3 linked regions of the Coturnix japonica genome follow. The protein of the gene in region 1 purifies or fractionates together with the protein of each later gene. This does not show direct contact. Links are inferred from orthologs where the notes say so. Each region holds a gene or a part of one and is shown in the gene's direction. Other genes may lie near its edges.

What was found.
Region 2: the proteins of RPS6KA3 (region 1) and FGFR2 purify together in Homo sapiens (affinity purification with mass spectrometry; 3 studies listed by BioGRID and IntAct, counting the BioPlex papers as one, with this or other methods). This does not show direct contact. The link is inferred for Coturnix japonica from reciprocal best matches to the Homo sapiens genes RPS6KA3 and FGFR2.
Region 3: the proteins of RPS6KA3 (region 1) and FGFR1 purify together in Homo sapiens (affinity purification with mass spectrometry; 4 studies listed by BioGRID and IntAct, with this or other methods). This does not show direct contact. The link is inferred for Coturnix japonica from reciprocal best matches to the Homo sapiens genes RPS6KA3 and FGFR1.

The regions. Positions count from the first base shown.
Region 1 is NC_029516.1:105,979,859-105,983,508, reverse strand, and holds part of RPS6KA3 (ribosomal protein S6 kinase alpha-3), read left to right. Parts: intron 1-1,293; coding exon 1,294-1,455; intron 1,456-1,647; coding exon 1,648-1,724; intron 1,725-2,287; coding exon 2,288-2,405; intron 2,406-3,173; coding exon 3,174-3,314; intron 3,315-3,650. UniProt on the Homo sapiens protein: Serine/threonine-protein kinase that acts downstream of ERK (MAPK1/ERK2 and MAPK3/ERK1) signaling and mediates mitogenic and stress-induced activation of the transcription factors CREB1, ETV1/ER81 and NR4A1/NUR77, regulates translation through RPS6 and EIF4B phosphorylation, and mediates cellular proliferation, survival, and differentiation by modulating mTOR signaling and repressing pro-apoptotic function of BAD and DAPK1.
Region 2 is NC_029521.1:27,582,234-27,585,883, reverse strand, and holds part of FGFR2 (fibroblast growth factor receptor 2), read left to right. Parts: intron 1-328; exon of another isoform or gene 329-348; intron 349-436; exon of another isoform or gene 437-453; intron 454-861; 5' UTR 862-940; coding exon 941-1,115; intron 1,116-3,650. UniProt on the Homo sapiens protein: Tyrosine-protein kinase that acts as a cell-surface receptor for fibroblast growth factors and plays an essential role in the regulation of cell proliferation, differentiation, migration and apoptosis, and in the regulation of embryonic development.
Region 3 is NC_029537.1:3,710,459-3,714,108, reverse strand, and holds part of FGFR1 (fibroblast growth factor receptor 1), read left to right. Parts: intron 1-83; coding exon 84-274; intron 275-1,579; coding exon 1,580-1,724; intron 1,725-2,601; coding exon 2,602-2,804; intron 2,805-3,166; coding exon 3,167-3,312; intron 3,313-3,650. UniProt on the Homo sapiens protein: Tyrosine-protein kinase that acts as a cell-surface receptor for fibroblast growth factors and plays an essential role in the regulation of embryonic development, cell proliferation, differentiation and migration.

The DNA.
Region 1 (3,650 bases):
TAGAGTGACTTTTCTTTTGTCTCCTGGATCAATAAGGGATGTTTTGCTCATGATGTAGAGTAAAAATGTTTCTAATCTCCAGAAAATGAGGCTCTCAGGAGTCATGTTTATTTAAATTCTCAGTAGGAGTTTAAATCCATTATATGGTTTAGAGCCCTATGTACTCCTTTCTACACAGAGCTGTGTCTCTTGAACCCTTAAGCTAATTTGTCGTGTGCAGAAGATGGAGCAGATACAATATGCCATCTGATTTATGTCTTTTCACTTTACAAGTTTTAGTTAGGCATATTATAGCATAGCTTCATATAAGATCAGATTCATTCTTCCAGAACCTCAGCAGATTTTACAGTTTTTCCCAAGTGTTTTACTTTCCAAATACATGAAAAGCAGGCACTGGGGAGCCAGTATAGGCCTGTATAAAATGTTAGCTTGTTTGGAGATTATAATATTCTGTATTAAAATTCCTCCTCAATTGGGCTGTGGGTGTTTGCACAAAGATTATTCAGTTTAGATAACCTAAATTATAGAAAGTTACTCCAGCAGTAACTGATGTGTAGTTATATGATAGAGTGGTGCTACAGAAATCATAGAATCATAGAATGGTTTGGGTTGGAAGGGACCTTTAAGATTACCTACTTCCAGCCCCCTGCTATAGGCAGGGACACCTCCCTCTATACCAGGTTGCTCAGAGCCCATCTGGCATGATCTAAAATGCTTCCAGGGAGTGGGCAACCTGTTCCAGTGCATCACCACCCTCACAGTAAAGAATTTCTTCCTAATATCTAGTCAAATCTACCCTTTGCCAGTTTAAAACCATTTTGCTTTGTCTTGTTGCTACCTGCTCTTGTAAGAAGTCATTCCCCAGCTTTCATGTAGGTCACTTTCAGGTACTGAAAGGCCGCTATAAGGTCTCCTGTTCTGAAGCCCTGGTTCTCAGGTTCTGATCTAAAGAGCTTTGTAGGTACAGTATGCATGTTAAAATAAGAAGTGCATGTAACTGTTAAATCGAGACAGCTTGATTTGTCTCCATAACTAAATGTGTGCACCAAGTTTGTTTTTGCTGAGTTCTTCCTTTTGGTGAGGGTTAGAATGAAGAGGAGGTGGTTTCCAAATGAGATTTTCACTACTCCAGGTGGTACAGCCAGAGTGCTATAGCTAATAGTAGAAGCTTGAAATTGGACTATGATTACTCATGGAAGGTATTAAGTAGAATAAATAATTAAAATGTAAAGCCTATTCCTGTTTTAAGCTTACTGTATTTCATGGTTTGTTTTGTTTGTGTTTTTTTCCTAGGTTGTCCATAGAGATCTGAAACCCAGCAATATTCTTTATGTTGATGAATCCGGTAATCCAGAATCAATTCGAATTTGTGATTTTGGCTTTGCAAAACAATTACGAGCAGAAAATGGCCTTCTGATGACTCCGTGTTATACAGCAAATTTTGTTGCACCAGAGGTACATACCAGGGTAGCTTATATGCCTTGATTTCTTTTGGTGGGAACACTTGGATAGGTGTTCATTTCATTCTTCAGCAGCAAGTGAATTAACTTGAAAAAGAATTAAAGAATCAGATCTTGGTGTTTTTATATCATGACCAAAGCATTTCTAAGCACTTTTTTTTACAGAAAAAATATCTGTCTCCTTCAGGTTTTAAAGAGACAAGGTTATGATGCTGCGTGTGACATCTGGAGTCTTGGTGTTCTGCTATATACTATGCTTACTGGGTAAGGGTTTTTTGTTTGTTCACTTCCTTTGCTTTATAATAGCAAACAAGAATAGTGAGTGTGAACCCACTGTGACTGTGTTTCTAGAAGGGAACTGATAAATCTCAATTACAACTCCAGGGAAGTTAAATATGCTTCACCTTTAGTAGAATCCAAATTTGAAGGAACTGATGTCTCATCTGTTTCAGGTCTTTAAATTCTTCTTTATTGTGATTTAGATGTAAAAATTGTTTTATTTTTCCATTAAAATTAGCTGATTAAACAGTGTATGTTTTGAAGGAAATATGTTGCAAGCACAATTGCAGAGCTTTGAAACATAGTTGTGAGGAAAATTCAGCTACTGGATGGTTTGAAGTGTTGCACTTAAGGAATAATAAATGCAATAGAAATACATTTATGTATGCAGAAGAAATGATTTGTATAAAAGGTGATAAATGGCTAATTCAACTATGGTTCCACAAGTTCAGAAAAGAGCTGCTGTTGCACTTGCTAAGTAGGTTATTTTGTGCTGGTTTGTTCTATTCATCCTTTTTTTTGTCTTAAAATTTTGTTTGGTTAAATAGCTACACTCCTTTTGCAAATGGTCCTGATGATACTCCAGAGGAGATCCTGGCCCGGATAGGTAGTGGAAAATTCTCTCTGAGCGGTGGTTATTGGAACACTGTTTCAGATACAGCTAAGGCAAGTATATTTGCTTTGTTCTGTGAGAGATGAATCATAGAATCATAGAATTACCCAGGTTGGAAAAGACCTTGAAGATCATCAAGTCCAACCGCAGCCTAACCAGTACCCTAACTATATGAGAAATATACTTCGATGAAATACATTGCTGATAATGTCTACATAATAAATATTACCCATTGTTATTTTTAATTACTGGGCTGATTTTTATATGCTTAGAATTTTTTCTGTTTATGATCCGTTCGCGTTTCAATGGTCACTTGCATGTAGGGTGAAAATCAGGTGTGCTTAAAAAGATGGTGTATTTTCACACATGTGCAATCATCTGTGTCAAGAAAGGCTGTAATTAAATATCATGTCAAAAAATGACATTCAGAAGTCCTAAACTGGGATAGTGAAAATATTGAAATAATTACTGTATGTCCCTCTGGTTCAGGCTAGGAAAAATATTGTCACGTTTGTGTAGGGCTAGTTCTTCAGTTACCCACGACAGTTCATCTCATGTTCTTTCATGAGGACTTGAGCAGTTTATTCTCCTTAGTACTGAGATTCAACCTGCAGTTTGCACAGTTGTTAGAAGACTGTTGGACACTGGTAAAATACACAAGGGAAAGGGTCATCTCAATGTTCTGTTGTTTCTTTTTCACTTTTGTTGCCTAATTAAGTTACCTAACCAAATGACATAGTGTTAGCCTTGTCAGGCAGCTTTTCATCTGCTTCAAAATGATGCTATGAACAAATGTTTATGCTACTCCTTGTTATTGACAGGATCTTGTTTCAAAAATGCTTCATGTTGATCCCCATCAAAGACTGACTGCAGCCCAGGTTCTCAGCCATCCCTGGATCGTTCACTGTGACCAGTTGCCTCAATACCAGCTGAACAGGCAGGATGCTCCCCATTTAGTTAAGGCAAGTAGATATTTGTTCATCTAACTGGCCAAAATCAGAGTAAACCAAAGGATTCTTTTAATTACTGTAGCACTTTTCCTTTAATTAATTTTAACAATTATGACTACAAATTGCTTTTGGACACAGCATGATCTTCTAACATATAGTAATAACTCATTTGCTGTGAATAAATCTAATGTTTGACAAAGACTTAAGTTTTCTTCGATTTTAAAGTTATTACGCTTCAACTATTTAACTTATCTCCCTTAAGAAACAAGGATAGAAATCATTTTTCGGATAGTGAAAATGTTGTTAGGGATTATAGGGAACGATAAAAAACAGTTGGACTAATTTTGA
Region 2 (3,650 bases), on another chromosome or scaffold:
GGCAGTGCTAACAAAACACTCAACTCCATCTATTGAAATTCATTTTATGGGGATTGAAATGAACTTCTTTCCCCCTTATCTGAAACCTGTATTTCATTAGGACCTTTGAAAAGAGGACGCTTGTGTGTGCATGCTGTGCAGCTGAACATGTATGAGTGGAAAATGATGCTGGGGAGGTCTCATGTGCAATTCCTGCCCAGGTTTATATGGCTGGAATGCAGTGTAGTTAACCAGTACCTCTGTGAAGATGGGACCCTGTTACCTGCATGGGGCGCTCAGATGTTAACTTGCACTGAACTGAGGTGGAAGAGGGTACACCTACAGGAGAGCTGGAATTACTGAGGCAAAGTAAGGTTTTATGGGCTGTCTGAGCGTAAGGAGTCTTTTTCAACTGTTATTATAGTGGAAAACTACTGAATTATTGAAACTTCAGCTGCCTGCGGATCCGCCTCGGTGAGGGAACGAAAAAGCTTACATAAACCTTCAAACAATAACAAGAATATCATTTGTATAATTGTGGTAATTTTGCAGCATTACAGGTTATGTGTCTGTACATGTGTGCGCCTTTATTATTATTATTATTTAAAATGTATATTTTTCTGTCGGTGAAAGAGCCCTAAATACGTGCTGAGAAGTGATTTTGTGAAAACAAGGAGGACTTGGTTACACCTCGGGTGATGATGGAAACTGCTAACAGAAAATGAAAAGTCACTCACTTTTCACATATACTTGAAGCTGGAAAAGTATTTTTCCCATCCTCCTCCTCCCCCCTTCTCCTCAGCTCTGTATGGGACTTTGTGGGGTTTTCTGCTTTGCATGTAGGGTGGTTTTGCTGACAGCATTTAATCTCTCTCCCTGCAGTCGCTGCCGTTCCCAGTGAGGAGGGATTGCCCTGGCCGAAGGCACTGCGTTCTGTCCATGCTCCTGTAGAGGTGCTCAGATGGGATTAAAGTCCACATGGAGATATGGAAATGGACCAGGAACTTACTCTAAAAAGATGGTCAGCTGGGATTTGGGTTGCCTTATCTGCCTGGTGGTGGTCACCATGGCTGGACTTTCCCTGGCTCGACCGTCGTTTAACTTAGTTGTTGAAGATGCCACTTTGGAACCCGAAGGTAAATCATTCTAGTGTACTTAATTCTGCAAAAGGAGTTAATTTTAAGTACGTCAACAGCTGAAATTGAAGTCAACAGCTTTATGCGCGTTGGTAAATAGAAGGCAAGTAACAGATTTGCCCTCAAGAGTTATGTTTTCCAACTTCTCCTATTCACACGCGGACTGTGTTCATGCAAGCATGCGTTTATTTAATCTTGTGCAAGCAGTGGTGTCAGTGATTTCACTTGGGACTGTCATCGCGTTGTATAATCACAGTGTACAGCTGAAAGCTTTCAGGAACGGGTCTTTAAGGAAACCTGTTGCGCTTATGTACCTGTTATGTATTGCTTAAGAAAGGACACCGCTGGGTAGCTGTACGTCACTGTGATTTGAACTACCTGGAAAGTTGGGAGGAAAAAGAAATGCCAGTTGTTTTTATTCGCATGCCCTGATTGTTTAGCTTTGCAGGGCACTCTGCAAAGGAAGATGTCGCGGCCCTATTGGTGTTTGTGGCTGGTTGCTATAAATTTCCCTTTTGTTGTTCATGTCCAAGAACAATCAGTACGCTGTCTGGACCGCTGGGTCTGGAAGTGCACATGAGGAGATCTGAATAGCAAGGAGAGATTATTGCTGTGAAAGCAAAAACTGATTGAAACCTTTGCACTGAAAGAGGTGCTCCGATAAAATCTCCTACCTTGAGCCTGCACCTGTTGGTATGTTCTTGTAGGTTATCCCACCTTCAAACTTTGCAAAGTGTTTTTCTTTATAGAGCTAAGGAAGGGCTGCTTTTCTTGTTGTCCTGAGCCACTTGTATTTGTCTCCATTTTATGGAGAGCGTAGGATCATTTCTGCCTGCTGAACACCCTGGGAAAAAGCAAGGCTTCCTTCTTCTAGTTTTATTTGTCATTTGGAGGGCTGATTGAATTTCTATTAACTGTCAAAACAACATAGTAACCCATAAACCATATTTCATCAGGCGAGCTTTCTGAGGGGAGTTTGGCCTATACGTGTCTTGCTGCCCACATCCAGCGATACAGCCTTGTTTTTACTCAGTCCACTTCCATGCAAAGCGTATTTGTTTCTATCCACTGCCTCTAAAAATAGACGTCACCAGCTAACGCGTTTCTAGACTCTCTTCCAAGTACATTTTTATTGATGGCAGGGGAAAAATTATTTAGAGACGATGAGCCCTCCTCCCTAGCAAGCGTTCCTGAAGCAAAATGAATGCAGCGTAGCAATATTGTCATCTGTCACGGGCAGAGACTGTTGATGGCAAAGCCTTTTTGGTTCGTCCCCTCCCCTTCTGAAGGTAACATGAGAATTTGAGAAAGCTCAACTCTCATCACCGCTTACTGTATGTTTTGTTAATTGCACATCTGGTGCCGTTTTGGCTTTTCAGAGGAGTGACAAAATCAGGGATAGTTCTGGTTTCAGATGGGCTGTTTGTAGGGAGGTCCATTAGTTTTAGGGCTAAACAGGGAAGAATGTGATTGCGTGAATCATGCAGGAAGAAAGGTTAAAATATTTAACTTATGCTTTAACAGTTTTCTTTTCAAAATATGCTTTTTCCATGAGGAATATCCAATGGGTGAGAATCAAAGAGTAAATTGCTAAAAACCTACTGAAAACTTCTTCCCTGGGCAGGAATGTTAACATACATGAGATGATTTTAGATGTAAGAACTTGAGTTGTTACAAGAAAGAGCTTCTCAGTTAATGGTATAATATTAATGGTATAATAAGAGCTTTTATGCTGTAGAGTACAGGCAATTGTGTGGGATTTATATCTGAGATTTGGGAAATAAAACCTCTTTTATGTACTTTGTTAAACCCTACTCTAAAAAAAAAAAACACAACAAAACCCACTCTTTACTGAATCACCTTCGTTGGTTCCATCACTGCCACCCACAAGCTCTTGGTGCTGAAAGGAGAACAAAACGCTCTTGTAAAAAAATCTCTTCAAAGACAAAGCTGACTTTTATTGTTATTATTTTTTTAATTTAGTGAATGCCAAACATTTTGGTCACAGCTAATTTGAGGCAGTCAGGTGCTCCAAATCTTATGCTTTTGGTTGGGTGACTGACTGAGCAGTCATTAGGACAGTGACATTTTAGACCAGCTGAGAAGGTCGCCAGGGCTGTGACCTTTTGTGACATACTTTGATCTGTTCCTTGGTCTTTCTTCATGGACATGCCCTGGATTTTGTCTTTTTTTGGTGCTAAGTGCTTGTATTGTTGTTCTTTATTGTCTTAGTGACTCAGAATATTCAAGAAGCTGCATGCAATGTTAACAGGAATTGAGATTGTGGCTTTTGTTCCTTCAGCTGTAATAAATAAACCCTGGTTGAAATACAGTCATCTCTTAGCTAAACACAACTTAGGGGACCACTTTCTTTGGGGTCTGTATTTCAATACCTGCTTTAGCACAAGCAGTATTCATCTCTCAGGGTAATGAGCTGCATAGCTGTGTGTACACGTGCACCGAGGTGTTTTGTTTTGTTACCTGCAGTTTATCTGATCCCTTTGGTAGCACCTTTCTCTGAGCTGCTTTCATACA
Region 3 (3,650 bases), on another chromosome or scaffold:
CTGTGGGATGAGACCCCTTTGGGATGAGACCCCTGTGGATGTGGGTTGCTCGTGCTGAGGTCCCCATCCCTCCATCCCTGCAGAGCGCTCCCCGCACCGGCCCATCCTGCAGGCAGGGCTCCCAGCCAACAAAACAGTGGCCCTGGGCAGCAACGTGGAGTTCGTCTGCAAGGTCTACAGTGACCCACAGCCCCACATCCAATGGCTGAAACACATCGAGGTGAACGGCAGCAAGATCGGCCCCGACAACTTGCCCTACGTGCAGATCCTAAAGGTAACGCTGCACACACACCGGGCTGCCTCAGCCCGGGTCTCTATGGGGTCAGTGCTCTCCCTGGGCACAGCTGGGGACATGTAAGGTGGCATCGAGGCATCTGGAGCCCCACCAGCCCTACCTGCTCTGCTCTGGGCTGTCCTGGAGGAGCTGGGTGAGAGGCAGGGGGCAGCAGGCAGCGGTGCACTCGTCCTTTGGATCCCTGAAGGTGTACGCCATGGGCTGGGTGGGTGCTGGGGGCAAACATGGGGCAGGTTGCTCAGTCCAGGCACAAGCAGTGCCCTCAGCCCCTCTGCAAAGCCTGGGGTGTGTGAACATCCCCATCCATGCCAAGCTTCCAGGGCACATGGCCATCCCCAGCTGTGTCCCCATGCCCAGGGCTCATGGCCACCCTCAGCCCTAAGGCACACAGCCACCCTCAACCATATGGGGCACATGGCCATCCCCAGCTGTGTCCCCAGGCCCAGGGCTCATGGCCACCCCCAACCATATGGGGTGCATGGCCATCTCCAGCTGTAGTGCACATGGCCATCCACACCCCAAGGTGCACCCACCCCTGATGCACTGTAGCAGGTTTATGGTCCCCTGGCTCACCACAACCCCATGGCCCCCAGCCTTGTGCTGGCACCATCGCTCCGGGCGCTGTGGTTTCTGACCCCATCGATGTGACTCCTCTGTTGTTGGTCTGTTCCAGCACTCGGGAATTAATAGCTCTGATGCGGAGGTGCTGACCCTGTATAATGTGACAGAGGCGGAGAGCGGGGAGTATGTTTGTAAGGTTTCCAATTATATTGGCGAGGCCAACCAGTCTGCGTGGCTCACTGTCACCAGACCTCTGGCAAAAGGTAATGGGAAGGATGCCCAGTGGGACGCTTCTGGGACCACCTTGTCCCCAGTGGTGGAAAACACAACTCTGGGCTCTCTCGTTTCTGCTGTATTTCTGGTGCAAAAAAAGCCATGGAAAAATACCCCGTGGGGCCGGCTGGGCTGTGTGTAGTGTCCCCCTATGTGCTGTCCGTGCTGTCCCCTATGTCTCCATCCTTGTGACACCCAGCCGGCCCTTCCCCGAGCTCTATTTTTCCATGTGGCCCATTACCAGCATGCTCCGATGGGCAGGACCGTTGGTGAAGGGTTTATATGGTCTCTTTAGGTCCACCCGGATGAGCGGTCATCCGGAGGGTCTCTGCCAGGGGGTCTCCAAGGTCTCTGTCTGCTCCCATATGAGGCTGCTCCCTCCTCTCTGCCTCTCCCCAGAAGATCTCATGTCGTTTGCTTCTCCCTTTTGCTTCCACTCTCCCCCTCTAGACGGCTGGCGTTAACACGACAGACAAAGAGATGGAGGTTCTGTACTTACGGAATGTCACTTTTGAGGATGCTGGGGAGTATACATGTTTGGCGGGTAATTCTATTGGGATCTCCCATCACTCTGCATGGTTGACAGTTCTCGAAGGTATATACTCTTCTTCCTGTCCTTATCCTCCCTTGTTTCCACGTGTGTCGGATGCATTGCTGGGGCTGTCGCTTTGCTGTGTGTCGATGTGCTGCTCGGCCATCGATGCTGTGCGGATCCACGCCTGATACAGCAGCCTTGGGGAAGCTTTTGGGGCGCTGCGTGGGCGCCGCTCTGCTGCCAAAAGCTTTGCCCGTAATCAGCCGCTGCTTGGGTGCACTGTGAGGTGGTGCTGCTGGGAACATGAGGTTTCAACTCTTCCACCTCTCTCTCAGCCTCTGTTCTTTGGGGGGGGGGTCAGGTTTGGGCTGCTGGGTTTGTGGCTGTGCCATTCATAGCACTGCCACCCCCCCAGATCACAAGGTGGGGGCGTGCTGTGGTGCATAAGGATGGGACCCCCCCCACCTCCAGCCCCCATCCTGCAGCACATCACTGCTGCTGCTGTTGCTACAGGTGCTTCTGGCTGCTCAGCTCCACCTCCCAACACCCATTGGAGCCACACGGCCCCTGCGGGCCACTGTAACCACAGATCCCAATGGCTGTGCAGCTCAGCCCCACAGGGCGGTGGGTGCAGGGGAGCATCCCCACATGGTCCCCATGGTGCCATCCCACATAGAGTGGGAATGGGCACGAACCCCCTGCTTCACAACCTGCAGTTCACCCCTTCCTGCCCCAGGCACCTGGGTGCATCCCAAGGGTATGGGTATGGGTACAATGCTTATCCCAAGGCTGTGGGTGCAGTGCCCACCCCATGGTCTGACCACTCCCTGCTGCATGTGGGAGCATCCCACACCAGCCCTCACCTCTGCTGAGAGGAGCCGGGTTCTGCCCAGCCCCACTCTTGGCTTCCACTGATGCCCTCCCTGTGCCAACCCAGCTATTGAGGACTCACCGGCCATGATGACGTCCCCCCTCTATCTGGAGATCATCATTTACTGCACCGGCGCGTTCCTCATCTCCTGCATGGTGGTGACAGTCATCATCTACAAGATGAAGAGCACCACCAAGAAGACTGACTTCAACAGCCAGCTGGCTGTGCACAAGCTGGCCAAGAGCATCCCACTGCGCAGACAGGTAACAGAAAGTAGAGAGGGGGTTTCTTGGCTCTTACTGCCCCTCCCCAAAGAATTGGCACCATGGCCAACCCTTGCCATGCTTGTGTGCATGGCCCCATGGCAATGAGGCAATTAACCAGGAGGCATTATGGCAATTTAATATTGAGACAAAGAGTGCGTGCTGCACACCAGGGACCCCCAGGCTGTGTGTTTTGTGGTACCAGCAAGCAACAAATCAATTACAGTTGATACAGTTGTGCTCCAATGGGGAGCAGCAGGGAACCCACAGTGTTCAGGAGTTGGGGGGTCCCGGTCAGCGTTTCCCCATTGGGAACGGGTGGCCGTGGCCCCAGCACTGCGTGAAGGTAACCCACAGCCCTGCTGCAGGTGTCGGCTGACTCCAGCTCCTCCATGAACTCGGGTGTGATGTTGGTGAGGCCCTCACGGCTCTCCTCCAGTGGAACCCCCATGTTGGCCGGTGTATCCGAGTATGAGCTGCCCGAGGACCCACGCTGGGAGCTGCCAAGGGACAGGTGGGGATGGGATGGAGTGGGGTAGGGTGGGATAAGATGGGATGGTGTGAGTTGAGGTGGGGTGTGATGGGATGGGATGGGATGGGATGAGGTGGGATGAGGTGGGGTGTGATGGGATGAGATGGGTTAAGGTGGAGTGTGATGGGATGGGATGGGATGAGGTGGGATGAGATGGGATGGATTTAGGTGGGCTGTGATGGGTTGAGATGGGTTGAGGTGGGGTGAGGTGGGATGGGATGGGTTGAGGTGGGATGGGATGGGTTGAGGTGGGATGGGATGGGTTGAGGTGGGATGGGATGGATGGGGCAAGGTGATGGCACTGAGGTGATGGCACTGAG